4 linked regions of the Elephas maximus indicus genome follow. The protein of the gene in region 2 purifies or fractionates together with the protein of the main gene of each other region. This does not show direct contact. Links are inferred from orthologs where the notes say so. Each region holds a gene or a part of one and is shown on either strand. Other genes may lie near its edges.

The links.
Region 1: the proteins of ERLIN2 (region 2) and RNF185 purify together in Homo sapiens (affinity purification with mass spectrometry; 5 studies listed by BioGRID and IntAct, with this or other methods). This does not show direct contact. The link is inferred for Elephas maximus indicus from reciprocal best matches to the Homo sapiens genes ERLIN2 and RNF185.
Region 3: the proteins of ERLIN2 (region 2) and AMFR purify together in Homo sapiens (affinity purification with western blotting; 4 studies listed by BioGRID and IntAct, with this or other methods). This does not show direct contact. The link is inferred for Elephas maximus indicus from reciprocal best matches to the Homo sapiens genes ERLIN2 and AMFR.
Region 4: the proteins of ERLIN2 (region 2) and TMEM259 purify together in Homo sapiens (affinity purification with mass spectrometry; 3 studies listed by BioGRID and IntAct, with this or other methods). This does not show direct contact. The link is inferred for Elephas maximus indicus from reciprocal best matches to the Homo sapiens genes ERLIN2 and TMEM259.

The regions. Positions count from the first base shown.
Region 1 is NC_064840.1:25,069,365-25,077,298, forward strand, and holds the start of RNF185 (E3 ubiquitin-protein ligase RNF185), read right to left. Parts: upstream 3,020-7,934; 5' UTR 2,849-3,019; intron 1-2,848. UniProt on the Homo sapiens protein: E3 ubiquitin-protein ligase that regulates selective mitochondrial autophagy by mediating 'Lys-63'-linked polyubiquitination of BNIP1.
Region 2 is NC_064840.1:62,937,323-62,944,865, reverse strand, and holds the start of ERLIN2 (erlin-2), read left to right. Parts: upstream 1-4,540; 5' UTR 4,541-4,644; intron 4,645-4,653; exon of another isoform or gene 4,654-4,992; intron 4,993-5,380; exon of another isoform or gene 5,381-5,669; intron 5,670-5,880; exon of another isoform or gene 5,881-5,896; 5' UTR 5,897-5,911; coding exon 5,912-6,018; intron 6,019-7,334; coding exon 7,335-7,416; intron 7,417-7,543. UniProt on the Homo sapiens protein: Component of the ERLIN1/ERLIN2 complex which mediates the endoplasmic reticulum-associated degradation (ERAD) of inositol 1,4,5-trisphosphate receptors (IP3Rs) such as ITPR1.
Region 3 is NC_064839.1:23,462,092-23,469,530, reverse strand, and holds the start of AMFR (E3 ubiquitin-protein ligase AMFR), read left to right. Parts: upstream 1-4,420; 5' UTR 4,421-4,573; coding exon 4,574-4,819; intron 4,820-7,439. UniProt on the Homo sapiens protein: E3 ubiquitin-protein ligase that mediates the polyubiquitination of lysine and cysteine residues on target proteins, such as CD3D, CYP3A4, CFTR, INSIG1, SOAT2/ACAT2 and APOB for proteasomal degradation.
Region 4 is NC_064821.1:739,072-746,334, reverse strand, and holds the start of TMEM259 (membralin), read left to right. Parts: upstream 1-4,244; 5' UTR 4,245-4,404; coding exon 4,405-4,629; intron 4,630-7,248; coding exon 7,249-7,263. UniProt on the Homo sapiens protein: May have a role in the ERAD pathway required for clearance of misfolded proteins in the endoplasmic reticulum (ER). Promotes survival of motor neurons, probably by protecting against ER stress.

The sequences.
Region 1 (7,934 bases), about 38 Mb from region 2:
TTACTGGCTGATGCGTAAATTTGAACAATCATCGTATTAACTGGTCTTTCTTATAGGCACATGGATATTATCCTTTCACTGATAGCACTGTACTTCGGAATAGAAAAAATTAGAATAAGGTCTATAAATTAGCTAGGAGTGTACTGATGTCAATTTCCTTGTTTAAATAATTTTATTATGGTTATGTAGGAAGCTGGGTAAAGGGTATACAAAAAATTTGTGTATTATTTTTGCAACTTTTTTTAAATCTAAAATTATTTCAAAATAAAGACTTTAAAAAAATTGTACCTGATACAGGTCAGCAGTCATCAATTTTTTTTCTGGAAATGGCCATATAGAAAATACTTTAAACTTTGTGGGCTGTATGGTCTTTGTGACCACTGCTCAACTCTGCTGTTGTAGCATTAAAGAAATCAAAGGCAATATATAAATGAATGGGAGGGGCTGTGTTCCAGGAAAACTTTTATTTATGGACACTGATACCTCATTTTCCTATAATTTTCACATATCATGAAATATTATTCTTCTTTTGATTTATTCCCCACCATTTAAAAATGTAAAAACCATTTTTAGCTCACAGGCCATGCAAAAACAGTGGGGTCACATTTGTCCCACAGGCTGTAGTTTGCATACCGCTGGTCTAGGTGAGAACTGGCTAATGTGTGCTTCATTTAAAAAGCAAGAGTGTTTTACTCAAATAAGTTTGACAGTATTAAACAAGGTTAAACACATTTCTTTATTGCAAAACTTCTCAGTGCCTTTAATATGGTACTATAAACTGAGAAATTTCAAGAAGGGATAATAGTACGTAGCTTTTCCCGAACTTATATTTACCACAGAACCACCTTTTCAGCAGCATATCTTCAGATTAGTGACCTGAAGAGCACACTCATGAAAATGTTAATTTAGGTACTTCTTTAAAAAGGAAACCTTTAGATTAAGAAGTTTTAAACACTTATCTCCCAACCACCAAATTAAGATCATTTCACCTGGCACCTGGATAGTATCTGAACAAGCATTTCACAACTGTTTTTAAACATGGGAAACACACACAAACAAGCAGATAAACACAGGCAGGAAGTCTTGGCTCAACTCCGACCTTTTCTTTTTTTGCATGTCAGCAGAATTGAGTCGTAACATGGATTCTCGGCTCCATAGGGCAACTTATGCATTCTTAACCACTCTAACAGACTTTTAAAAAGTGAACTACTCTGAATTCTGCAGATCACAAAATAAGGAACTCTGGTGTCCGATTAGAAAACTAAAGTTATATCAGAAGTACTATCTGCAGATTACACACTAGCGACGATGAACTGGCCGGTTAAGTCCGTAAGAGGACAGGTTTCATATGCTGGATGAAAAGTTAGCCAATAGACTGCAAAAACTCTCTGTCTGCACAACATCTATACAACACACACTGCTGGTGAGAGGATTAAGGAAGGATTTATGTCTGAGGGAGGAGAAGGCTGGCCTGCACAATCTCAAAGTGTCCTTCCAACTGAGACTTCTCCACTCTGTAACCCAAAGAGTTCACTGGCTTTACCTGATCAAACACAAAATCTTAAGGGGGCACTTCCAAGGTGTCCTAAGAAAATAAACTATTAAACGATGGAGATGGGGAACTGCTTAGTTATTTGTTCAACAAACATTTAAGGAACCCCTATGAGATGTTGAGCCATTCCAAAGTCCCTGAAAAGAGGGATGGTGCAAAGAATAAGCAGGCATAGATTACATAAGGCCAGACCCACTGGCTTTACTCCCAGGGTTGGGGGTCATCCAAGAAAAAGAGGCAGAAAAAAGAAGTCACATGTACTTTGAGGGTAGAGTCAGCACCAGAAAGGGTCAAAATAACTACTTAGAATCAGAGACTTTCAAGGTGGAAAAAACATCCACCTAATGCCTACACACCTCCTGAACAGGGAGTCACTACCTCTTGAGGCAATCTATTCCATTGCTGCTCACCTCTGATGGTTCTTCCATTAAGTGCTTCTATTAAGTCAAAATCTTCTCTTCCTGATACTAGTTCTGCCTCCTTCAGTCCCAAAGAAGTGGAAGCCCTCCTTGACATAAAACCTTTTGCTTTTTAACGACACTTCCTCCCTTCCAGTGCACTCTTTGCTGGGCTAACCATTACAATTCTTTCAAGATCCTGAACAGGCTCTAGCTGCCTCAAAGCGAAGAATGAATCCTTGTACTCCCAGCAAGAAAGCACCTAATATTAGTGGGTTTCAAACATGAGTACGTATAGGATTCCCACGACTCTTATCCAGATTCTAAACCAGAGGTTTTATGTGAGGCCCAGGAATCTGCATTTTAAAACACGCATCCCGGGGGATTTTGAAGCAGATGGTGTGAGAATCATATTTTGACGAGTAGTACCCCGTTTTACAAATGAGAAAGCCGAGGCCCAGCACAGGAAGGAGATTTGGCCCAGAACACACAACTGACTGTAGGTGGCGAAGTCTCCAACACAGGTCTCTGACTCCCAGTCCAACTCTGTTCACCACGTTTCCTAGCCTCGGCCTCTATACTAGGGCAAACGCGTTAAAAGCAACCCCACGGTGAGACAGGAGGTCCCGTGCGGGGGTGGAAGGGCGCGAAGGGAGTTAGGGTCAGTCCCTGTCTGGAAGGGAGCGCTGGAGGGAGTCTCTCCCCTTCTTCGGGACGGAAAATCAAGACGCTAGCCCCATTTCCTTCCGAGGCAGAAGGCCCAGGGCATGGCCGTGCTTGTTGCCTCCGAGTTCCGGGTCTCAGGTGCCACAGCCCGTGGGCCCCAGGAAGGCAGAACCCGGTCCCACGTCCCCGGCTCCCAGCCTCGCCAGGCCCGCCACCCCAGACCCTCACGTACCTGCCTCCGCGCACCTAACGCCGCCTAGGCCACTCCACCCTGTCGGCCTGTCGGCTGACCTGCCAGTCAACCGGCCAAGGAGTCCGTGTGGCAAGACCTTCGACCCCACCTACGCGAACTCTAGTCACCTGACTCGGAGCCGCCCCTCTTAAGGACTTCCGGCCGCGACCGGAAAAGGTTGGTCCGCTGCGCCGTTCTCGGGTCTAGGACCCGGATCTAAGGTTCCGCCTGCGGACGGGAAGCGGTTAGCTTTTCGAAGCGCTAGAGTAGGGGTTCTTTGAAGAAGAGACTGATAACCAGAGCTAGGGCAAGGAAAGTGTGGAATGAGCTTGTTCCATCAGAATTTAAGGAGGTGTTCTTAGAATAATAGGCATATGTCAAAGGACACAAGCAAACTCGAAGAGGATCCCACTGGCCAAATTGGGACAATTTTAGCATCAAAATACATAATGATAGTAATGGAATATAGCTAATTGAACAAAATAGTAATTCATGAGTCTTTGCTGACATAAAGAAGTGAATAAATAAATAAATGGAGAAGACGGTAAAACTCTATAGTAGAATGCCAACTAATAAACATGATAGAGAACCAACAAATATCCTAAAGGAATAGGTTATTTAGACTGTAAAAGTGTCTCCCATAAATTACTTATTAACTACAAAAGGAAAGTATTAGTTTTACAGAGGTGTAACCTAGTGGGAAGAAACCCGGGTGGCGTAGTGATTAAGAGTTTGGCTGCTAATCAAAAGGTCGGCAGTTTCAATCCACCAGGTGCTCCCTGGAAACACTATGGGGCAATTCTACTCTGTCCTGTAGGGTTGCTATGAGTCGGAATGGACTCCACGACAACGGTTTTGGTTTTTGGTTGACACAGTGGAACAAATGATCAAAGTAATGGACGTTAAGATTACCAGGAGTTCAAGTAGAGATCACGTGCCTCTGAAAACAATGCACTGAGAAGGACAGAACATCTCTTCTGCCAAAAATGTCTAACTTGAACCTTAAGAGGAAGCATTAGATAAACGCACATTGAGGGAGATTCTACAAAATAAGTAACATGTACTCTTCAAAAATGTCAGTGTCATTACAGACAGAGAAAGGCTGTGAAACTGTTCCAGTTTAAAGAGACTAAAAACAAACGACAACTAAATGTGATGTGTAATTCTAAATTGGACCCTGGACTGGGGGTGGGGGCAGGGGATAGCTTTAACGGACCACACTGGAACAGGTGATGAGATTTTAATATGGATTATGGGTTAGCTATTAATATGTATTTTTTCAACGTTAAATTTTCGGAACTTGATCACTGTACTGTAGTTATGTTAAGAGAATGTCCTTAGGAAATACTCACGGAAGTATTCAGGAGTAAATAGACACAGTTTCTCCAACTTAATTTCAAATGATTTAGAAAAAATGCATATATGTAAAAATAGAGAATGATTAAGAAAATGAGACAAAACAAACTTTTGGTGAATCTAGGTAAAGCTTGTATGGGAGTTCCTTATATAGTTTTTGCAACTTTTCTGTAAGTTTGAAATGATACAAAAATTAAAATTTACAAAAAAATGTGGGGGGAGGTGGCTGGGTCCTTGCCAATTCATTTATTTATCTATTAAACTTTGATTATTGCTTTCCACATGCCAGTTCCTGTGCCAGGCACTGGCGATGCAGTGAGAGACAGGATAATGTGCTTTTATGCCTAGTGGAAAAGATGTTAAACTAACTTGTAATCACACAAGTAATGGACCAGAACAAAACATTGCACAGTTCTGCGCCATCCTCACGTTCATCGTTATGTTTGAGCCCCTTGTTGAAGCTAATGTGTCAATCCATCTCGTTGAGAGTATTCCTCTTTTTTGCTGACCCTCTGCCTTACCAAGAATGACGTCCTTCTCCAGGGACTGATCCCTCCTGATACAGTCTATCATTCTTCACTTCTAAGGAGCATTCTGGCTGTACTTCTTACAAGACAGATTTGTTCATTCTTCTGGCAGCCCATGGTATGTTCAGTATTCTTTGCCAACACCGTAAACCAAAGGCATCAATTCTTCTTCTTTATTCCTATTCATTGTCCAATTTTCACATGCATATGAGGTGATTGGAAATACCACGGCTTGGGTCAGCCACACTTTAGTCCTCAAAGTGACATTTTTTGCTTTTCAACACTTTAGAGAGGTCTTTTACAGCAGATTTGCCCAGTGCAATGCGTCTTTTGATTTCTCAACTGCTGCTTCCATGGGTGTTGATTGTGGATCCGAGTAAAATGAAATCCTTGACAACTTTGATATTTTCTCTGTTTGTCATGATGTTGCTTACTTGTCCAGTTGTCAAGACTTTTATTTTCTTTATGTTGAGGTATAATTCATACTGAAGGCTGTAGTCTTTGATCTTCATCAGTAAGTACTTCAAGTCCTCTGCTTTCAGCAAGCAAGGTTGTATCATCTGCATATTGCAAGTTGTTAATGAGTCTTCCTCCCGTGTTAATGCTGTGTACTTCTTCATCTAGTCCAGCTTTTCCAATGATTTGCTCAGTATACAGATTGAATAAGTATGGTGAAAGGATACACCCTGAGACACACCTTTCTTGATTTTAAAACACGAAGTATCCCCTTGTTCTGTTTGAACAACTGCCTCTTGGTCTATGTACAAGTTCCACATGAGTACAATTAACTGTCCTGGAATTTCCAATCCTTGCAATATTATCCATAATTTGTTATGATCCACACGGTTGAATGCCTTTACATAGTCAATAAAACACAGGTAAACATCTTCCTGGTATTCTCTGCTTTCAGCCAAGATCCTCCTGACATCAGCAATGATATCCCTCATTCCATGTCCTCTTTTGAATCCAGCTTGAATTTCTGGCAGTTCCCTGTTAATGTACTGCTGTAACCATTTTTTAATGATCTTCAGCAAAATTTTCCTTGTGTGTGATATTAATGATATTCTTTGACACTCTCCACATTCTGTTGGATCACTTTTCTTTGGAATGGGCACAAATATGGATCTCTTCTAGCTGGTTGGCTAGGTAGCTGTCTTCCATATTTCCTGGATAGAAGAGTGAGCATCTCTAGCACTGCATTTGTTTGCTGAAACATCTCACTTCATAGTCCATTAATTCCCGGAGCCTTGTTTTTCACCAGTGCTTTCAGTGCAGCTTTGACTTCTTCCTTCAATACCATTGTTTCTTGATCACATGCTGCCTCCTGAAATGGTTAAATGTCAACCAAAGCTTTTTGGTACAGTGACTCTGTGTATTCCTCCATCTGCTCTTGATGCCTTCTGCAGCATTCAATATTTTCCCCATTGTCTTGGACATTTAATGATGCAAAAGAGAAATACCACAAGTGGATGGCTTCAAAAAAGATAAATTTATTCTCTTGCAGTCTAGTAGGCTAGAAGTTCAAATTCAGGGTATCGGCTCCAGAGGAAGGCTTTCTCTTCTTGGCTCTGGAGGAAGGCTCTTGTCATCAATCTTCCCCAGACTAGGAGCTTCTCCATGCAGGAACCCCAGGTCCAAAGGATGCACTCTGTTCCTGGCACTGCTTTCTTGGTGGTATGAGGTCCCTGTGTCTCTCTGCTCGTTTTTCTCTTTGATATTTCAAAAGAGATTGGCTTAAGATACTATGTAATCATGTAGCTCTCATCAGTATAGCTGGCACTAATCCATCTCATTACATCACAGTGATAGGAATTTACAACACATAGGGAAATCACAGCAGATGACAATAGACAATTATATGATACTGGGAATCATGACCTAGCCAAGCTGACAGATATTTTGGGGGGACACAATTCAATCCATGACACCCATAAAAACAAACCTGTTGCCACCGGGTTGATTCCGACTCATAGCAACCTGAAAGGACAGAGTAGGCCTGCCCTATAGGGTTTCCAAGGAGTGGCTGGTGGTTCCGCCTGCTGACCTTTTGGTTAGCAGACAAGCTCTTCAAAATTGGAACTTCAGTTTTGAATTTTTTCTTCAGCTCTTTCAGCTTGAGAAATGCTGAGCATGTTCTTCCCTTTCGCTTTTTTAACTTCAGGTCTTTGCACATGTCAATATAATACTTTATCTTCTCAAGCTGCCCTTTGAAATATTCTGTTCAGCTTTTTTACTTCATCATTTTTTTCCATTCCCTTTAACTACTCTACATCCAAGAGCAAGTTTCAGAGTCTCTCCTGATATCCATTTTGGTCTTTTCTTTCTTCCCTGTCTTTTTAATGACCTTTTGCTTTCATCATGTATGATGTACTTGATGTCATCCTATAGCTTGTCTGGTCTTTGGTCATTAGTGTTCAACACGTCGAATCTGTTCTTGAAATGGTCTCCAAATTCAGGTGGGATATACTTAAAGTTGCATTTTGGCTTTTGCAGACTTGTTTTAATTTTCTTCAGCTTCAACTTGAACTTGCATATGAGCAACTGATGGTCTGTTCTGAAGTCAGCCTGTGGCCTTGTTATGACTGATGATACTAAGCTTTTCCATGGTCTCTTTCCGCAGATATGGTTGATTTGGTTCCTGTGTTTTCCATCCAGTGAGATCCACATGTATAGTCACTGTTTATGTTGTTGAAAAAGGTATCTGCAATGAATGTCTGTCAGTATGTAGTTCTGTGGTGGCTTGCGTGTTGCTGTGATGCTGGAAGCTATGCCACCAATATTTCAAATACCAGCAGTCACCCATGGTGGATAGGTTTTAGCAGAGCTTCCAGACTAAGGCTGTGAAGAAGGACCTGGCAGTCTACTTCTGAAAAAATTGGCCAATGAAAACCTTATGAACAGCAGCAGAACATTGTTTGATATAGTGCCGGACGATGAGCGCCTCAGCTTGGAAGACACTCAAAATACGACTGGGGAAGAACTGCCTCCTCAAAGTAGTGTCGACCTTAATGATGTTGCAGTAAAGCTTTCAAGACCTTCATTTGCTGATGTGGCATAACTCAAAATGAGAAGAAACAGCTGCAAATATCCATTAATAACCACAACGTGGAATGTACAATGTATGAATCTGGGAAAATTGGAAGTCGTCAAAGATGAAATGGTATGCATAAAGACCTATATGGTAGGCATTGTTGTTGTTGTTG
Region 2 (7,543 bases):
AGACTTGCATAAGATTGTAGGCTGAGGCTAAAGAAGTGGTAGAAAAGAACAAGGTAAAGATAGAGAAGATAATTGAAGGCTCTGGGTCCCTGAGGAAAGAGGATCCAGCAGGAGCAAGATTAAGAATCCAGGTGGAAAAAGGCAACGTGCATTGCCTTATCCACCGAGATTTACATATCAAGTGCTAAGGTATCTCTTTGTCTATGGCAAAAAGTCATGTATCAATGATATAGAGAGATGTACAGATAAATGTATGCACATGAAGTTCCATAAACTCTTATTAAAAATTCCTACTGTTGTTAGCGATTTAAGGTTGGAACGTTGGAGATGGGATTGTCAAGGGACAGGTCACGCCACGCAAAATAGAGCAAGTCAAAGTTCAGACTAACAGGACTGTTGGTAAGTTTCCCAGGGTAAAGAGGTACTCTTTCTCATCATCCCTCAAGCACACTTTGGACCGTGGCCATTCCCCTCTCTGAGACTTCCTCCCCTTAGCCCGCTGTTTCTACATGAGTAAAATAAATGGGTTGGATTAAAATCACAAGGAACAACCTAAACATCCATCTACAGGTGAATGGATAAACAAATTACATATACATACAGCAGAACATTACACTCAGCAATAAAAAGGAATGAACTACTGATACACTCAACACCATGGATGAATCTCAAAATCATTATTCTGGCAGGAAAAGGGCCAAACCAAAAAAACAAGTACATGCTGTTTAATTCCATTTATATAAAAGTCTATAAAATGCCAAGTTTTCTGTAGTGAGAGCAAGCAGATCAGTGGTTGCTTGGGAATGGGGGAGGGGGTCAAAGAGAGGGGCGTGAGGGAGCGATTACAAAGAGGCATGAGAATGTTTGGGGGCATGATGGATTTGCTCATTAACTTGGTTGTGGTGATGGTCTCACAGGTATACACATATGTCAAAACTTAATTGTATACTTTGTGCAGTTTATTGTATGGCAATTATACCTCGACAAAGCTGTAACAAAAATCTAATCACAAAATGATCTTTAGGTGGCTTACAACTGACTTCCAACTCTCTTTTTTTTTTTTCATCATTATTCCTCTCTGATCCCTTCACCCAACTTCCCTGAAGGAACATCATTGTTGTTATTGTTGTTGTGTGCCATCCAGTCTATTTCAACTCATGGTGATCCCATAGGACAGAGTAGAACTTCCCCATAGCATTTTCAAGGCTGCAATCTTTATGGGAGATTTTTTTAATCTTTACGGGAGCAGATCGCCAGTCTTTTCTCCCACAGAGTTGCTGGGTTCGAACCACAGACCTTCTGGTTAGCAGCTGAGTGCTTAGCCACTGCACCACCAGGGCTCCTTAAAGAAATATCATTCACTCCAAGAAGGCAGCAATCCTGGTTTTACCAACTGAAAGCAAGAGGGGAAGGTTCTATGTAATCCTCCTAATAATTAAGGATATAACCCTTCAGTCCTCTTTCCCAAGCTCACCAAAATCTTTCTGGGATCAAATGCCCTGAAGGATGACCTCTATTCTTCACTTTAGGCCCAAAATAGAGAAAAAGGAAAAATCAAAATCAAACAAAAACTTTTTTTCAGCAACTTCCAGCCTTGTAATACAAAGAACTGAAGCCAAATACTTTATCTGGTTCCTTTGGGGTTAACTTTGGTGTTAACAAAAAAGGACTGTAACTAGGTGTAACTGTGTAAGAAGGGGGTCTCTTCCCTCTTTGGAGCAGCAGCACTTCAACAATTAGTTTAATAAGAAAACTAAAACAAAAGCAATCCAGAGACAGAGAGAGGTGGATTACTTATTGTTGTTAGGTACCGTTGAGACAATTCCGACTCATAGCGACCCTATGTACAACAGAATGAAACACTGCCCAGTCCTGCACCATCCCCACAATGGTTGTTATGTTTGAGCCCATGATTGCAGCCACTGTGTCAATCCATCTGGTTAAGGGTCTTCCTCTGTTTTGCTGACCGTCTACTCTATAAGTAGTACATTACTAGGGTAGAAGCTTTTTTAACCTAGCTTCAAACTACCACTACAAAATAAACTGGCTCAATTTGAAGTTTTGCAATTTCTGACCACTGGTATACATTCCTGAAGGGTTACATCTGAAATGAATATGGCACATGTGTGTGTTTTAAGTTGACTCATTTCTCAATTGACTTACTGTGGAAAAGAAATAGATTTGGGATCATTTGAATTTCACCTTTGCTATCGACCAGCTTTGTCATCTTGGGCAATCCCTTTTACAGATCAAGAAACTGAGGGAGAGATAGGTTACTTTCAAGGTCACACAGCTAAGAAGAGGTGGAATCCAGGATTCAAGCCCAGGCAGTCTGGCTTTGGAAGCCCTGTACTTAACCACTAGTCTATACTGCAAGTTGCTAGAAGATGAATTTTTAAATACTTTTTCTGTTAAACTGGAAACCCTGGTGGCGTAGTAGTTAAGTGCTACGGCTGCGAACCAAAGGGTCAGCAGTTCAAATCCACCAGGCGCTCCTTGGAAACTCTATGGGGCAGTTCTACTCTGTCCTATAGGGTCGCTATGAGTCGGAATCCACTCAACAGCACTGGGTTTGGTTTTTGGTTCTTGGTTTCTGTTAAACTAATCACCACAGACTTCTCTGCTTGGTGACTTTGGATACTGAGTCATAACGATCACAGGTCTCTTAAGGAAGGGACTTTCAGAAGTGTTAGATCATCATCTAGTGAAGTACACGCCCTGCCTTTAGGCAAAGCCACAATGAAACACTCAGGCGTAGGACAAGCTTCTTGAGAACAAAGTCCCACAACTTCCTCTCAAGTTCATTCCAAAGCTTAACAGTCAGAAATTCTTAAATTAAATCTACTTGAAATCCTTTATGCCTCAGGCTAAGCACCATTCCTTGGATTGATAGATCCCAGTGTAACCATTTCTCTAACTCATTCACTCAGCTATTAAATAAACATGTATTAAGCACACTCAGCTAAGCTAAATCACTGAACCTTGAGAGAAAAAGCTCTCAGGTTTTGATAGGGTCGGTCAGCTTATAGGCTGTGTTTGCCAGGGACGGATAGGGTTCAGAAAGGTGAGAGTAGAAAAGGCGGCCTTCCAGAAAAGGAGGTGGGTACAGGGTTCGCAGACAGCACCATCCAGTCTACTTGTGGGCTTAACCATATAATGCTTAAACATCCCAACACAAGCTCACCTAAAGCTAACCCAGAGGGAGAGAATGGGTCAATTCCAAGAGCCATGATGCCCGGAAAACCTAACGTTCCTTTTTCTGAACCCTAAATCTATCTAGAAGTTCCTGGGTGATGTAAACGGTTAACGCACTTGGCTGCTAACCAAAAGGCTGGAGGTTCAAATCCATTCAGAGATACCTTGGAAGAAAAGCCTGGTGATCTACTTCCAAAAATCAGTCATTGAAAACCCTATGGGGGAAAAAATAAAGCCATGTGGAGCATAGTTTCACTCTGACATACCGTGAGACAGAACTGACTAAATAACAATTGCTTTTTAAATCTGCCCAACAACACCAGCTTGCTATCCTCCCTGAAAAAACTTTTTATTTACTGAGGCTGTAATTATGGGGAGTTAACCTTTTCTTCTGCAGCCAAAATAACTTTAGTAGTTGAATGAGAAATGCTTCCATTTGGTGCTACCGAGCAGAGAAGGATGAGGATGACGTCATGGCCCTTAGACTAGGAGACACAAAGTCTAGGTTCTGGTCCTCTTCCATTTTGTCTTCACCCCGTATTTATTCAGCACCTAAGCACAGGGATGCTGAGGAGAACAGTTCCTGCTCTCAGGGAGTTTACAGTCTATCCAGGGAGAAGACCAAGTGCACAAGGCGCCCTACACCGTTGGGAGTTAGGCTCGAGATGTCAAGGTAGAGCAATGGAGGCTTTCATGGACTGTCACACCTCCACCCTCCCACCTCCGCACGTCACTGAACTTGTTATATTCCCTTGATTAAAACGGGGATAATTCCTGCTTAATCTACTTTATGGTACTATCCCAACTCTGGAAGCTCAAAAAGACCTCAAAAGGCCAAAGCTCCCAGAAAAGCATAAAGAGCAATTCAAAGTAGAAATTGTTGATTGGCGACATAATGGTGCTAATCTGCATACTTAAAAAACTGTTTCTTCCAGCTGGGCAATGGGAGGGGGACCAAGCAAAAGGCTAGAGCGGTTGCAACTCTCTATTAATGGCTCCGAAAAAAACAAACAGGTGCCCCCCCAAAGTGGCTTGTCCTAATATGGAGGGGAACCTGGAGAATTCGCCAAAGTCAAAACCTCAGGAAGTGACACCCTTGATCTCAAGCCTACGCACCCACAGCCCCACGCGTCCTCCTTCAGGCTCACCCTCCAGGCGCTCCTCAACCCCGCCCCACCACCAAAGGCCTGACGGAGCCCTGGGACGGCCCGGGCCGAGTCGCGGGCGCTCCCTGGTGGCCATAGGCGGACACTGACCACCAAGAGCCCGAGGGGCGGGGCGGGGAGGACGAACTAGGGAGCGAGGGGAAGGGGGCGTGGTCTTACGCGTGAGCTGATGGCGTCATCGGAGCGACGGGCCCGGAAGGAAGTAGTGAGCTGAGGGGTGTGGCGGTTTTCTGCGGTTGCACGGGGGTTCGGACGAGTACGGAGCGCCTGGAGGGACATCCGGGTACGCCGCCCCCGCCCCGTCTCAGTGCGCGCTCTGGGCCTCGTTACCTCTCCTGGCTCGAGCTGATCTGCGATCTTCCCGGCCTCCGCCCCAGCACACTCTCTCGTTCAGCCAGCCCACTACTGGAGCTCGAAAGAGACCCTTTCCCCGCCGTCCCCTCCCCGCTAGCCCCCAGGCGGGGCTAAGCGGAGGCACTTGGCGCCCCGGCCCGACCCAGGGTGCCAGGGCCTCTCTGGGAGGAGCGCGGAAAGGGGCGCGAGGTGGGGCGGGTGGCCTTGGAGAGACCTCGGGGAGGGAAAGCATTTGCAGAAAGGACGCAGCTGCGAATCTGCAGCTGGGACCACCACGGTAAAATAAACGCCTCGCAGACTGCGCCCGAATTATGTTAGACCCCAAAGGCAGAATCCACGTCCTGCGCGAGTAGGCCCAAACATGCAAGAATGTGAACTTTGCTGTCGGTCACCATAGATTTTTCAGATCAGTGTTCAGGGGCGAGCTTCTAGAGGCCAACTCTTTCACTTCCTGGCGCCTGACCAGTTGAACCCAGGACCCCAGAGTCTCTTGGACTCGGGAACTCCCCTTTCTTATGTAACCAAGAGTTTGGGGACCTATCAGGTGCAAAGTGCCAGTCAAGTATATATGGAAGGGAGTGTGGCCGCTGTCTTGTTCGCAGTCCTGTCCCATGTAAGGCCAAAAGAATGACTGGGAAAGTGAACGAAAGGCCGGAGAATCCTACCTTGGAACTCTGCTCGCGTGCTGTCTCTGCCACTCCAGCATCTGAAAGGAGTAAATAATGGTTGTCTCTGAAATGGCAGGCAATTAGGGTTGGGAGGCTCTGACCAGAATTACATGGCCACAACTGCCTGTCATTTGACATCCTCTGTAATTTCGTCCAACGTACTGCAGCTGCCTCTCTTCCTCTTTTTTAGCATGGGTGGCTCCATTGACAGCACGTTGGTGTTCACAGGAAGAGAAGGCTGTGTTCTGAACACTTCCCAACTGGCACTGGTTTTCCCTTGCAGGGCAGCGTCTGGAGCCACTGCCTCTTCAAAGAGATGTGGAGTATAATCCTATGGTTAAGGAATGTGAATGTTGACTGAGAACAAGGATGAAGAGAGTTGTAGATCTAGCCACGTGCTCATACTGCGCCAGGCTGGGTGTGAGCCACTGTCACGGTACTCTGTGAGGTACTCTTGCTGTCAGCTTTCCTCCTGCATACCAGACCACACACGTTTTCCTGTCTTTTCCCTAGGATAAAGGTTCACTGATGGCTCAACTGGGAGCAGTTGTGGCGGTGACTGCCAGTTTCTTTTGTGCATCTCTCTTCTCGGCTGTGCACAAGATAGAAGAGGGGCATATTGGGGTATATTACAGGTAAGGCAGAGGCAGGTAGAAGCTTCCACTTCCTGATAAATGGCTCCCTTTCCTAGTCACCATCTGGCAGACTTTGCTGAATATTTGTGTTTATATTTTGTTGAAGAAGGGAGTCTTTTGAATTGAACTTTTGTGTCAGTGATGAGATGGGGAAATATATATGTGTGTAAATGTAAAACTTTGCTTAACATTCTAAGATGACACCACAGAATGGTGATTGATATATGCATATATGGATTTAAAGAAAAAACCTAAAGGAGACCAGTGCTCCTTGCAGACCATCCCTGAAATATTGTTTCTCCTATATCCCTCTGGGATTCTTGGCTTCACGCTACTAGGTCACTTCCACCAAGGCCAGCTGAGTCCCAGTTCTTGATGGCAAACTGAGAAGATAGCCTACTCTGCTAATTTAAAGAATGGGTACTTGGGGACTACTCTTTAAAATTAACATTTCTGGAAAAATGAAAGGACCTGCAGGTTGATTAATACCAATCAAGGCAAGTCCCAGGGTGGAAGGTCTTACAGTAAACATTTCACAGTGTGTTTTATTGCTCTTAAAAAAAAAAAAAGTGTCTTTGACTTCACAATGTAAAACCAAAGAAACAGTCATAAATCATGGATTGCCTTCCTCTTAGTAATCTTTATAACCAAGTTTTTTGCTTTTAAGTTTTTATGAACCTCTTCCGTGTGCCCTGTGATGCTTATTTCTGGATTGCCAATAGCAAGTTCCAAAACTGATTGGTTTCCCCCCTCCATCTGCTTACACATGTACCAAAAAAAAAAAAGCTTTTAATTTTGTTAATCATTTACATACAACTTGATTAGAAAAGTAGCTCTGCTGCCCACCGCCCAAAAAAATTTTTTTAATTGATTTTAAAGGGTAGTTAAAATTATTCTGTGCTTTCTCATGCCACTGGACTCTAACGTTAGTGCAGTTAATTGATAATTACATGACTGAATTTAACTGCCCTAACAAATTGCCAAAAGCTCAGTGGGTATGACAGAGTAAACCAGACTTCCTCTCTCAGCCTAAGTATAGCCAGAGATTCTTCCGTCTTTATCCCACGTAGCCTGTGTGCCTATTTTTCTCCTTGCAAAATGAATAATGATTTTCCGTTTTACCATCAGGCTTCCTAGAATATGAGGGTAGAGCTGAGCGAAAGACAGGGATCTGTGCATATGGCTCTGGCATGTGCCACTTTAGATTAAATGTTTATGGGGTGGAAGAGATAGTTGGCTCAAGTGGTATTGATTCCTTAAGTATCTAAGAGAGCCTTCTTGCTAACGGAGCCTGCCTCTCTCTTCCTCCTCTGCAGAGGCGGTGCCCTGCTGACTTCCACCAGTGGCCCTGGTTTCCATCTCATGCTCCCTTTCATCACATCATATAAGTCTGTGCAGGTACACTTGGCTTGTGTGGTGTGGCTGGATGACTGCAGATTCAGGGTGGTAACTACTACATGATTTGGAATTATTTAGCCACTGAATGAGTACAATGCCTTTTCGGGGAATGATTTAAAGATTGATT
Region 3 (7,439 bases), on a different chromosome or scaffold from region 2:
AAACCAAACCCATTGCTGTCCAGTCAATTCTGACTCATAGCGACACCATAGGACAGAGTAGAACTGCCCCATACGGTTTCCAAGGAGCACCTGTTGATTTCACACTGCCAACATTTTGGTTAGCAGCCGTAGCTCTTAACCGCTATGCCACCAGGGTTTCCTTCTGCCCTGGATTCCACATTTTCTTTCATCATGATTTTTACCCCTTCCTGCCTTCTCATCTGCTTTTGGCTAAGTACTGCTCTTTTGATGTCGTAATTGATTTTTCCAAGGAGTACATTCCTCCTGGGTATTTTGTTTATCTTATGTGCTTGTCTATTGTTTAGCTGGGAGGTGGTCTCCAGGAATGGCTTCCGTTCCAGAAGGGTGTTCTTAGGGCCATACTCTCTGGAGTTCCTCCAGTCTCTGGCAGACCAAGAAGCCTGGTCTTTTTTGTGAATTTGATTTTTGTTCTACAATTTTCGGCTCTGTCGTGGACACTCTGTTGTGATCTCAGTTGTTTGATTCCTTGACTGCTGATTCCTTGGGCGTCGATTGTGAATCCAAGTAAAATGAAATCCTTGACAGCTTCAATATTTTCTCCATCTTATCATGATGTTGCTTATTGGTCCAGTTGTGAGGATTTTTGTTTTCTTTATGTTGAGTTGTAATCTATACTGAAGGCAGTAGTCTTTGATCTTCATCAGTAAGTGCTTCAAGTCCTCTTTGTTTTCAGCAAGCCAGGCGTGTCATCTGCAAAGTGCAGGTTATTAATGAGTCTTCCTTCAATTGTGATGCCCCATTCTTCTTCATATAGTCCAACTTCTTGGATTATTTGCTCAGCATACAGATTGAATAGGTATGGTGAAAGGATATGAACCTGACACACACCTTTCCTGATTTAAACCACGCAGTATCCCCTCGTTCTATCTGAATGACTGCCTCTTGATCTAGGTACAGGTTCCTCATGAGCACAATTAAGTGTTCTGGAATTCCCATTCTTTGCCATGTTATCCATAATTTGTTATGGTCCATACAGTTGAATGCCTTTGCATAGTCAATAAAACACAGGTAAACATCCTTCTGGTATTCTCTGCTTTCAGCCAGGACCCATCTGACAGCAGTGATATCCCTGGTTCCATGTCTTCTTCTGAAACCAGCCTGAATTTCTGGCCGTTCCCTGTCGATATACTGCTACAGCTTCTTTTGAATGATCTTCAGCAAAATTTTACTTGTGTGTGATGTTAATGATATTGTTTGATAATTTCTGCATTCTGTTGGATCCCCTTTCTTTGGAATAGGCACAAATATTGATCTCTTCCATATTTATGCAAGTATAGGGTGTAGTATTTTGTAACTGCCTATATTTTGACTTGGATTGAATATGGATCGCCTGTTAGTGTGGTTTAAACATTATCATGGCTCAGATCTTGACCTATAAAGTAGAACACTTTCTTCCCTGGAAAATTACTATCATCGTTTTTCCAAAATAAAGCTTTTCTTTATCAAGAAAATAGAACATTTAGCATTTTAATCAAATGGCCTTGGATAGACAACCAAAAGGAACTGGAGTCTAATATTCCTGTAGATCTCGTATAAAATATGTGTGTGTATAAATTGACCTCCAGTAAAACCAAACTGTGAGGTCCCATCATAGACCCTTTAGTAAAACGTTTCTAAAAGTTTCAAAGTGGTTGGTAACAACCTTGAGAGACCTTCTTTGGTATCTAATTAATAGACTCTTAGACTATTTAGCCTGAAAGAGATCTTACAAATAATTTAGTCCTTTCCTCTTGATTGAGCAAATATTTACTGAGGACCTACCAGTGGCATCACTAGGATTGGTGTTACCCAGTGTGGTAACTCATGGTGCTACCCCCCACCTCCTCCTGTACTAGGCTGTACAGAATCCTTTGTAATGTTTTTGTACTAATGTTACTTGTAAATCATAATTCCTGTATATCACTCCTTCTTTTCCTTTAATTACTGCTTCTTTCTCAAAAAAATTATTGATATAATTTCACAAATACTATAGCTAGAACACTGGAAAATTTGACAAAATCAGTAACTATAAAAACATCGGCAGGAATGAAAACGACAGCAGTGCTTATAGCGTGGAGATGAAACTACATGATTTGAAGCATCATTGTACCCGGATAATAATGGCAACTCTGACTGAAGGGCATTAACCTGTTGCTGTTGAGTCGATTCCAACTCATAGCAACCCTATAGGACAGAGTAGAACTGACCCATAGAGTTCCAAGGAGCGCTGCGTGGATTTGAACTGGCAACCTTTTGGTTAGCAGCCATAGCTCTTAACCACTATGCCACCAGGGTTTCCAAAGGGCATTAGAAAGTTCAAAAAGTCAATTAGCATAGAATTCTAGCCTTGCAGGTATATTGATACATACATGTAAACTGAGCTTAACAAAAAGTTTTTTTTGTGGTTTAGCTATGGGGAATTTTTTTTTTTTTTTTAACTTTTATTGTGCTTTAAGTGAAAGTTTACAAATCAAGTCAGTCTCTCATAGGAAAATTTATATACACCTTGCTGTATACTCCTAGTTGCTCTCCCCCTAATGGGACAGCACACTCCTTCTCTCCACCCTGTTTCCGTGTCCATTCAGCCAGCTTCTGCCCCCCTCTGCCTTCTTATCTCTCCTCCAGACAGGAGCTGCCCACATAGTCTCATGCGTCTACTTGATCCAAGAAGCTCACTCCTCACCAGTACCATTTTTACAGGGATATTTTTATAAAAAATTTCTGCTGAAACAATGCACAAAAATTTTATAGACGGTCATTTTGGTGTCACCCCTCTGAGGGACAGTGACACCCAGGTACAGGTGGCACCTCCTGCACCCACCTAGACCTACTCTGGGCCAAGCATTATTTGAGGAATAAGACTCCAAGATAATGAAAAAAAATTTTTTGTAACTTTTTTTTTCTTGTAATAGCTTTATTGAGATATACTTTATGTATTGGGATAATTCATCATTTAAAGTGTACAATACAATGGTTTTTCATATATTCACAAAGTTGGACAACCATCACCACAATCAATTTCAGAACATTTTCATCACCTCAAAAAGAAACTCTGTATCCTTTAGCCGTCACCCCACAGCACCAGTCACCTATATCCCCCAGCCCTAAGCAACCACTAACCTACTTTGTTTCTATAGATTTGCCTATACTGGACATTTCATATTAATGGAATCATACAATATGTGGCCTTCTGTGTCTGGCTTCTTTTATTAGCATGATGTTTTCAAGGTTTATCAATCTCAATTGTTAAACCTTGAAAATTATGATTTACAAATAACATGTATCAGTACTTCATTCTTTTTTAAGGCAAATAATATTCCATTGCATGGCTATACCAAATAACCCAGGTGGCGCAGTGGTTAAGCACTCAGCTGCTGGCTGAAATGTTGGCTGTTCAAACCCACCATTGGCTTTGCCAGAGAAAAGACCTGGGGATCCGCTCAGGTAAAGATTACAGCCTAGGAAACCCTTCCTGTGCTATAGGGCCATTATGAGTTGGAATAGATGACACAGGGCAACATGGATATAGCACCCTTTGTTTACCCGGTCATCAGTTGATGGACTTTCAGGTTGTCCATGTATCATGAATAAGGACTTTTGATTATTAGAGCTGCTGCTGCTGTGAACATGTGTACAGATTTTGTGTGGTTGGTATGTTTTCATTTCTTTTGGGTATATACCTAAGAGTGGAACTGCTGCAACAAATGATAACTTTATGTTTAACTTTTTAAGGAATTGCCAGACTGTTTTTCAAAGTAGCTGCACCATTTTACATTCCCACCAGCAGTGTATGAAGGGACACATTTTTATTTCGTGCTAAATCAGGTTCGTTTTAGATTGTGATAGAGACTATAATACTGGCAAGTGGCAGAAATTTAACACAATTTATTGCAGAGAAATTTAAGACTACAGATTAATACTCTTGCTTTTGTGATCACGGTCTCTATTATTCCCCAAGCACTGCCTCCTCTTTCAGGCACCTGGGAAGTCTAGGCCCACAGGGGTACCAAGGGCAAGTGGCTGCAGGCCTGGTGGCCGGGCTTTCCCGCGTCCCGAGGGGCAGCCACGCGGCCTGGGCTGGGCCGCCCAGTCAGCGCCCCAGGGCCTGAGTCACGGCCTTGGCTCGGACCGGGGCTGGTGTCCTGCACGCCCGCCGGCCCGGCCGAGCCGGTGACTCGGTGGAGGATGAAGCTGGGTGCCGGCTCTCGGGGACCGGGCCCAGGCCCAGGCCTGGGAGGCGGCAGCGCGGCCGCGCTGGGCAGGGGGCGGGGGACGAAGCCGCGCCCCCGCGCCCGTCCGGCCCGCGCCCCGCTGGAAGCGGCAGCCCGCCCCGAGCCCGCCGACGCTCTTCTGCGCCGGCAGGGGCAGCAGCGGGAGCGGCGCGGGGCGGAGCCGAGCGGCGCGAACGGCCGGGAGAGGCCCGGCCTGGCCTGGCGCGGCGGCAGCGGCGGCGGGAGCGACGCCAGAGGCCGCGGGCGCCTTTCGCGAGGCCGCCGCAGAAGCCCGGCCGCAGCGCGGGGAGGCCTGGGGTCTGGAGGCCGCCGCTGCCGCCATGCCGCTGCTCTTCCTCGAGCGCTTCCCCTGGCCCAGCCTCCGTACCTACACGGGCCTCAGCGGCCTGGCCCTGCTCGGCACCATCGTCAGCGCCTACCGCGCCCTCAGCCAGCCCGAGGCCGAGGCCGGGCCCGGGCCCGGGCCCGGCGAGTCGGAGCAGCCCGCTCCCAGCCGGGCGGACGCCGGGGGCCCCCGGGCCCGCGACGTGGCCCAGTACCTACTCTCGGACAGCCTCTTCGTCTGGGTGAGCGAGGCTGCCACTGGCCCCGCAGAGGTGGACGGGCCAAGCGGGGCGGGGGCGCCCCGTCACCCATTATCCATGGGGGGCGTGGCCTCCCCACGGGACCACCGTGTGCGGGGGCCTGGGGCCGGGGGACCGAGACTGCGCTCGCGGAAGGAGAGGGTTGAGGGGTTGGAGTGGGCCCGCGGTGGGCAGAAGATGGGGTGAGGGCGTGAGGAGGGGGCGGCCCTAGGAAGTTGGGGGCTTGAGGAAGGTGTCCAGGAGGCGTGGTGGGGGCGCGCGCGGGTCGAAGAGGCCAGGCCCGGGGCAGGGGAGACAGCGCAGGGACGGCAGGGAAGGGGTTAGGGTACTCGGGGGAGGAAGGGGTGCAAGTAAAAGGTGGGGACAGGGTGGGGTATCTGAGGGACCCTGGGGAAGGAAATCAGAAGACCTCAGGTCAGGTTCAGCGGGGAGGTGAGGATCAGGAGTCAGCTACTGGGAGCGTTAGAGTAAGTGGACAGAAGTTGAAAGGCTTTTCTGACTGGGTCTGGCATGAGTAAGTTATTAGCGGGTTTCCAGTGAAAAGGACAGGGCAAAACAAACAAACCCAAAACCCAAACCCGCTGCTGTGCAGTCGATTCCGACTCATAGCTACAAGGGATGGGAGAATTCAGAAGCTGAGTATGGGGGAATTTTAGGCATTTCGTTGTGTTTGGACATTGCTGTTGGGAGGGCGGCCGTCTCTCACAACTTTTTACTGCCACTTGGTATTTGCTCGTCTTCTTTGGGTGCTATTTATTTTAAAAAAAAAAAAAAGGACACAACTGTGCTTCGTCTCTTGCTGCCCTTACCTGATGATTCATGACGGTTTTCTTTGATGTTGGAAGCAGGGTAACACAGCATTCGGGGTCAAGAGGCTGCTCTTTATTTTAACTTGGGATTTCTCCTTCTAGTGATCCATTTTAAAACAAGACTTCCAGCTTGCCTGCCAGTGCAAGATAAGCAGCATTTACAAGGCATACGTGTTTGTCTCATTTATGAAAACAGATAATTTCAGGCTGGGCAGGTCAACTGTATTTTGGCTAAAGAATTTTGCTTCCACCTGGACTTTGAATGCCTGTTATATAAACTCCACAGTGATCAGAAAAGTGACTCCAAGATTTAGTCACTGGGGGTTTTACATCCGCGTTTTGGATCTTGTCTCTTTCTCAGGTTCCCATTTGGGCTTGAGTTGTTGTGTGCTGTCGGGTGGATTTGGACTCATAGAGACTCCATGTGACAGGGTAGAATTGCCCCGTAGGATTTTCTAGGCTGTAATCTTTTAGGGAAGGGAAGCAGATAGTCGGGTCTTTCTCCCACGGAGCCACTGGTTGAGTTCAAACCACCAACCTTTTCCTTAGCAGCCAAGTGCTTAACCTTTTGAGGTTGAAAGTAGCCTGTAAATGACTGAGGGATTAATATTCCAGGCTGATAGAATGATATACAACTCATTTGTTATAATTAATCCCACTGTGCTTCATCAGGAAGCAGTGGGATTTATGAATTCTGGGGGCTGTGGAATGAAGTCTCCTGGTCCTTCTGATGTAGAGATTACTAGAAGGTGATGAAGGGTGAAGTTCCATTCCTCTACGGCTGTGTAAAGCTGCCAAAGACTGGAGAAGAGAGAGAACTCATCTCTTGCTCTCAAATCTGCTTTTGCATTTGAGTTGGCAGGTAAACAATTTGAAGTGAAGAGTGCCTTTGACAAATGTTAAGATTATAATGTAGTCTTTGATATATTTTTTAAGTCAGAGATATAAAAAAGCCTTTGAGAAAGAACTGCTATTGTACTTATATAACAACCACTAGTATTGTTTAATGATTTTTTTTTCCTTTAGGAGTTTCTTCTTACAAAGCCGGTGTTCAGATTCCAAGGTTAATACCTCTTCATCAAATACTATGTAAAATCTGTTGATTTTTCTGTGAAAATTATTTTTAAGAAAATTTCTTTCTTCTCAGCTTTTTCAGTAGCAGTGTTGCCTCACGTAACCTTATCATTTCTTCCTATCTGTTGATAATACCTTCATTTCTCAGTTGATCTTCTTAACCGTTTTCCACCTTTTTTCTTTGGTTTTCACGTGTTCATGCTGGCCTTCTGTGGTTTCTGAGACTCTGCATGTGTGCTCTGTAAGTTTTCCTCCTTACCCATTTAGTTGCTGCTTTAGCAGCCAAGTAGGGTTCACAAGGTCAAAAGCCTTTGGTGGCCTGACAGATAACATTATTGAGTAAATATGTGGTGGGTCCGTTGTGGAAATGGATCCTTTTGGTGCCCTGCCTGAGGCATTCAGATTCAGTTTTTTATAAAACCCTGCCCACTAAGGCCAAAGGAGAGAAAACAAAAAACAGCTCCTTCTGCAAATCCTGCAAGCTATTATTTTACATATTGGCATCTCTCTACAAGTTATCTCTGTAGAGTACAATTTTGGAATGATACAAATCTATTAGCATCTTAAGGGGTCCAGGTGGCACAGTTGTTAAAGTGCTTGGCTGCTAACCCAAAGGCCAGTGGTTCGAACCCACCAGCTGCTCCACAGGAGAAAGATTTAGCAGTCTGCTTCCCTAACTGTTACAGCCTGGGGAAACCCTGTGGGGCAATTCTCTGTCC
Region 4 (7,263 bases), on a different chromosome or scaffold from region 2:
TGTCTGGCTTCTCTCACTGGGCATCACATTTTCAGGGTTCATCCACACTGTAGCGTGTATCAGAGCTTCACTCCTTTTAATGGCTGAATAAATCTTCCATCGTGTGGATGGACCACACTGTGTTTACCCGTCATCTATGAATGGACACTTGGGTTGTTTCCACCCTTTGGCTCCTGTAAACGGTGCTGCTGTGAACCTTGGTGTACAGGGATCTGTTTGCCTCCCTGCTTTCAACTAATGGTGACTTTTTAAGGGTGTTGGGTGCACAGTTTGCATTTGTGGTGAAGTTTAACTTGTTCTTGGAGGCTCTGTGTTCCTGGCAAGTGGAAGTAAGGTTTACAGCTACACCATCTGATATGGCAGCCTCTTGCCCCATTTGGCTATTTAAATCCACTGCCGTTGAATCCATTCCAACTCATAGCGACCCCGTAGGACTGTCTTAATTATCTAGGACTGCTATAACAGAAATACCACAAGTGGATGGCTTTAACAAACAGAAGTTTATTCTCTTACGGTCTAGGAGGCTGGAAGTCTGAATTCAGGGTACCAGCTCCGGGGCAAGACTTTCTCTCTCTGTCACCTCTGGAGGAAGGTCCTTGTCATCCATCTTCTCCTGGTCTAGGAGCTTCTCAGCACAGGAATCTCTGGTCCAGAAGACTCACTCTGCTCCTGGCACTACTTTCTTGGTGGTATGAGATCCCCCGTCTCTCTGCTCACTTCTCTCTTTTATATCTCAGAAGAGATTGGTTTAAAACACAACGTAATCTTGTAGATTGAGTCCTGCCTCATTAACATAACTGCCTCTAATCCTACTTCATTAACATCATAGAGGCAGAATTTACAACACACAGGAAAATCACATCAGATGACAAAATGGCGGCCAGCTACACAATACTGGGAATTATGGCCTAACCAAGTTGACACACATTTTGGGGGACACATTTCAATCCATGACAAGGACAGCGTGGAACTGCTCCATAGGGTTTCCAAAGCTGAAATCTTTATGGAAGCAGGCTGCCACATCTTTCTCCAGAGGGCTTAAACCACCGACCCTCTGGTTAGCAGCCGAGCGCTTGACCACTGCACCACCAGGGCTCCTTATATGGCTATTAAAACTTGAATTAAGTTAGAAAAAAATAAGTTACATTCAAAACTAAGCTCCTCAGTCACACTGGCCACATTTTGCAGGCTCAGGAGCCCCAGGTGGCCACTGATCTTATTGGCACTGGGCAGAGGCTTGACTGGCCTTCCCCGGAGGCCTGGCAGCTGTCCTCTGCCTCACATGCAAGGCCCCCAGCGCCCCACAGTGAGGCTGGGCTTCCTCTCCTCGTCAAGGGGATGCCCACCCAGTCTCTCCACTGGGAAAGACAATTTCTTCTCCCTTTATGATTTTTTTTTTTAATAAGCTGGGCATGATTCATAATTTTTTTTTCCTTTTATTGTGCTTCAAGTGCAAGTTTACAATTCAAATCAGTTTCTCAAACAAAAACTTATACACATTGTAATGTGACCCTAGTTGTTCTCCCTACAACATGACAGCACACCCTCCCTCTCCACTCTATTGATTCATAATAATTTTAAGGGGAAAAACAAAACCAGTTGCTTTCCAGTTGACCTGACTCATGGCGACCCCACATGTGTGAGTAGAGCTGTGCTCCACAAGGTTTTCAATGGCTGGTTTTTCAAAAGTAGATCACCAAGCCTCTCTTCTGAGGTGCCTCTGGGTGGATTTGAACCACCAACCTTTCAGTTAGTAGCTGAGCACTTAGCGAACACCTACTGTATGCCAGGCCCTGTACAAGGCCTGTGTAACAGGAAGAGAACAGCTTTGGCTTTCTTGTCTTTGTAGGGGAGGGCCCCATCCATCCGTCTGTCCATCTGTGTCCAGTGAGGAGGCACAGGTAATTATGAAATCAGCAGCTAGGTCTGGAAGGTTCTCTCCAGCCTCCAGGCCACAGCTGGAAAGTTTCCTCCCTCCCTGACAACTCCCCCACCCCCGCCCATGTCCCCACCTCTCTCAGGGGCCTCTGTGCCCATCACAGCGTGAAGCTCACTGTCAGGAGGCAGACATCACCTTGTCTGTCTCCCTGCCAGTCTCTCGGCCCACAGCCACTACTGTGAGCCCAGAGCCCAGCACAGGCCCTGGGAGTCTGAAAGTTCATTGCCCAGAACCCTTTCCGTTTTTCTTTTCAGGCCTGGGTGCCTAACCCAGAGTCCAGCTCTCCACTAAAACGTCTTTGCTTTCTGCCAGCCTGTCCCTCTCCTCCCCCTGCCCTTCCAGGCTTCCTGCTGTGGCCAAATCTGCCTTGCTTTGGGGCGCTTGAGCACCAGACACACAGTCCCTTGCCATCGAGTGGATTCAAACTCATAGCGACCTCGTAGGACAGAGCAGAACTGCCCCATAGGGTTTCCAAGGTTGTAAATCTTTACAGAAGCCAACTGCCACAGTCTCCCGCAGAGCGGCTGGTGGGTTCCAACTGCTGATGTTTCCGTTAGCAGCGGAGCTCTTAACCACTGCCTACCAGGGCTCCTCAGATACACAGTGCTATTGCTAGGTGCCCTGGAGTAGGTTCCAACTTCCAGCGACCCTGTGCGCAACAGAACGAAATACTGCCCCGGCCTGCGCTGCCCGCATGATCATTGTTAAGTTTGAGCCCATTGTTGCAGCCGCTGTTCGTCAATCCATTTTGTTGAGGTCTTCCTCTTTTTTGCTGACCCTCTACTTTACCAAGCATGATGTCCTTCTCTAGGGACTGATCCCTCCTGACCACATGTCCAAAGTATGTGAGACAAAGCCTCACCGTCCTTGCTTCCAAGGAGCACTCTGGTTGTACTTCTTCCAAGACAGACTTATTCATTCTTCTTGTAGTCCATGGTATATTCAATATTCCTAGCCAACACTGTAATTCAAAGGCGTTGCTTCTTCTGTCTTCCTTACTCATTGTCCAGCTTTCGCATGCATATGGGGCAAGTGAAAATATCATAGCTTGGGTCAGGCAGTCACCATAGTCTTCAACGTGACATCTTTGCTTTTTAACTCTTAAGAGTTTTTTTTTGTAGCAGATTTGCCCAATGCATTACGTTGTTTGATTTCCCGACTGCTGCTTCCATGGGTGTTATTTGTGAATTCAAATAAAATGAAATCCTTGAAAACGTCAATCTTTTCTCCATTTATCGTGATGGTGCTTATTGTTCCGTTGTGAGGATTTTTGTTTTCTTTATGAACACACAGTAAGCGATCCTCATTTACTTGGTGCAGTAATATACTCGGGTGCTAGGAGGCACCCAGCACCGGGCCCGGGGCCCCGTGGGCCGTCCAAGGCTGCGAGGCGCGGTCAGGAGTGGGGTGCTGGTGGAGGGGCAGGTACACGTCCCACTCCGAGGCAGCCAAGAGGAGCGCGTGTCCGCAGCTCGAACTCCTTCCTGGGTTTGGAGCACTTTGCAGTCGCCAGGTGCACACAGTTTGCAGCGGGACACACGCTGGTCCCGCCAGACCGGGCCGGGGGTCTGGGGAGCCAGGGTCTGACTGTGCAGGGGCGAGATGGACGCTGACGCAGCCCGACTCACAGAGGGAAAAACTAAGACAGTTGCAAGAGAGACCCCCCAACCCGAAATCTGGGAGCTCTTAAATCCGTGCATGCAGCAGGCATTCGATAAATACCCCCAGACGCGCACGGTTTCTAAGGACACAGGTGGCGGGGCATAGCCGGGCCCTGTCACTTCACGGGCAGGGTCCACTCTGGCTGGCTGCCGCCGTCCTGGAAAAGAAAATATGGAACGCTTCACGAATTTGCGTGTCATCCTTGCGCAGGGGCCATGCTAATCTTCTCTGTATCGTTCCAATTTTAGTATATGTGCTGCCGAAGCGAGCACAAGCAGGTGCCACCCCGAATCCCTATTTATAGGCTAAGACCAGATAACTTTTACAGTTATGCCTAACTATATACACGTTATATCTTAAGTATAATCTTCCACAGCCCTATATTAAACAATATCTCCCCTAGTTAAATTTACTTTGACTGTGTTTGATCACGTTAAAATCCTCAGACGTTAGCCTATTTTACCGCCCAAGCGTAGCCAGCAGCCGCGGAGCCTTATGGGGCACTATATGCAAAAATTCTGCTCGGATGCAGCCCCGCCCCCCGACGCCGCCGAGCGTAGCGGCCGAGCGACGGGGCGGGGCCGCCGCGGACGGTCCTCCGGCATCCCAGTGTGCCCCGCGGACGCCGGGGGCGCTCTTGCCCGGCGCAGCGACTCTCTGGCACCAGCAGGGCCGCGGCTGGACGAGGAGGCGGAAGATGGCGGCCGCGGCCGGGGGGTTGTAAGGATCGCGGCGACAGGCCGATGGCGGCCGGGGCGCGCCCTCGGGGATCCGCGGAGCGTTAGGGCGCGACGCTGGGCGGCATGTCGGAGCACGCGGCGCCCGGGGCCCCGGGGCCCGGGCCCAACGGCGGTGGCGGTGGCCCGGCCCCCGCGCGCGGGCCTCGCACCCCCAACCTGAACCCCAACCCGCTCATCAACGTGCGCGACCGGCTCTTCCACGCGCTGTTTTTCAAGATGGCAGTGACCTACTCGCGGCTTTTCCCGCCCGCCTTCCGCCGCCTCTTCGAATTCTTCGTGTTGCTCAAGGTGACCGCGGCCCCCGACCCCGACCCCTGACCCCGATCCCTTCGGCCGACCTGTGACCCCGACCCCTGATCCTCGCCGAGACGCCGAACCCCTCCTGCTCTGAGGCCTGGACCCCTGACTCCACGGATTCGGGACCCTCCCCCGAACCTGCGATCGCTGAGCCTAGTCGCTGACCCCAATTCCTGGGCCCCATCCTGGTCTGAGACTCCCACCCTGGAAGGCACGAGCCGCACCCTACAGGACCCCCCTGATCCCAACCCCAGAATTCTCACCCCGGCCCCGGCCTCCTAGGGGCCCCTTCCTGCCCTCCAACGCCTGGGGTCCTCAGCCTGGGAGGACGGCCCTCCCAATCACCATCCAGCCCTGACCTGCCCTAAACCCCAGTCCTGGACTTTGCCAGGAACCTGGTGCCTCAGGACACACCCCCGCCACCTTCGTCTCTTCTCCTGCCTGCACCCTGATGCCCTCTCCCTGGAGCCCGCAGGAGAATGTAGCTTAGTTAGGTCACTGGCCGGACTTAGTCGGAGTTATGTGGGCACCGCGCCTTTCTTGTGGAGTCCTGCTCCTGTGGGTCTGGTTGAACAGGCTCTCCTCCCTCCTTGCTGTCCAAGGCCCTGACCCTTTCCTGTCCCCCCTCCGATGGACAGAGGGCTCCGCTGTGAAGGCAGGTTCTGGGGACCACCATCGGTACTGAGAAGGCCAACTTACTTGGCAGATCCTGCTCAGCGGGAGCCACGGCCTGAGACCCGGAGCTGGCCCAGGTCGCTGAGCCACCCAGGCTGGAGCTCCAGGGGCGCTGCTTGAGCAGGGGATCTCGGTTGTCACTAGACATTTCTGAGGAAGCAACGAAATGGCCGTTTTCGTTTCCGTTGATGGCTGGTGGGTGAGGGGCTGACCCGAGGAGTCCACAGTGGACTCCAGTTGGGAGCTGCGGCTCTGGGGTTTGGTGAAAGAGGCTCATGGAGCCTTGTGGGTCGACAGACTTGGATGGGGTCCCAGCCGGGAGGAGGCACCCCAAGTTCTCCTATGTGAGATGGGACTCCTGTGACTGAGTATTGGTCAGTGGCATTTTGCCGTCAGGCCGACTGGCAGAGGCTCTTCTCAGGGTGTGTGGCTTCCTCAGGGAGGAGAACCCTGGCCCTGGGTTGACACTGAGGGTGGCTGGGGATCCAGACAGGACCCTCTGCCTCAGTGGCCGGAGCACTGAGCGTCCCCCGAGGTCATCCTCCCTGAAGACACATATGTGGCCCTGGCTGCATCACTTCCTGATTTGAGGTGTGTCAGAGGTCAGGGCTAATCTGTCTCACCTGTGTGCAAGGGGCTGAATGGAGCCAGGGCTGAAAGACCCCTGCCAGTGCCCAGACGTGCTCTGGCAGGGAGGCTTCGCGACCGTAGGCAGTCTCCTGACCCACCACCTCCTTTCGCCTGAGTGCTGGAATGCGTGGTTCTGTTCCTTGTGAACCCTTCCCCCGGCACCCGTGACCTGAAGGCTGTGCTGGGCTCCAGAAAGCTTCAGCCTCGTCTTCTTGCCCTCCCAGGGTCAGGCATGCTCGTTGCAGTGGCTGTGGCCTCCCTTTGCAGTCATGTCTTGCCGGGGGGTGGGCAGGCCTTGGGCAGTTTTTAGGAAACAGCCATACAGTGCCCACTGCTGGAGTGTGGGAGAGGTGGAGCCGGAGGGTCTGAGAAGACCCCTCTGCCCTCAGCCCCGACCCACCACTGGCCTCCACAGCTGTGGGGCCAGAGTGAGGTCGCTGGGTAAGCAGAGCAGTGGGCACTGGGAGGCAGGCTGGGAAAGACCTGCCAGGTGGCAAAGCATCCACGGTGCCCTGCGGCTCGGGCTGGCAGCATCAGGGACGGCTTCTTGGAGGAGGAGCGGGGAGAGTGTCAGCTGCTTGGGTTGGGCTCTGGACACACCATGAGCAGCAGACCAGCAGAAATCACCAGTGTCCTCTGGGGACAGCATCACCTGGTGAGAGCTGCTGCTGTCCCATTTTACAGGCGAGAAAACCATGCCTCATGGGGCAGGGCTGCTAGCCATAGGTGCAACCAGTCTGGGAGGTTCCCTGTGCTCTTGGTGGTCCCAGCTGACTGCCAGGCCTGGGCAGTGGGGACAGAGGGTGCCTGGCTCCACAGGGAGGTTTCTTTTTAGCCGGTGCCATCAGGGGAGCTCTGAGGCCAGTTGGAGTGGCTCAGGGAGTTGCAATAGGACCAGTGGGCTTCCTGGAGGTGGCAGCTCCTAGCCTAAGCCACTGCAGGACCGCAGACATTAAGTGGCGTTGGTATGCCCGGCTAGTGGGTTTCATCTGCTGGGGTCAGGCCCAGCCTGGTCTCTCCCTGGGTGGGGGGTCCTGCACAGTCCCCAAGAGGGTGCCATGGGACTTGTCTGGCTGCAGGCATTGGTGGGGTGGGGCTGTGTTGGGGCACCCCTCACCTCTGGCTCCACCCGGTCGGTACTCAGCTAATGTGTGAGGGGATGGCCAGGTGCTATTTGTGCTGCAGCCAGGAGCCACCCCACTTCTGAGGGTCTTCCCGGTCCGGGCCCTGCTGACGGGGTTCCTCCTGGGTTCCAGGCGGGATGGCGGGTCTCGGTGGCCCCCGCTGACCCTGTGCCCTTCCCAGGCCCTGCTGGTGCTG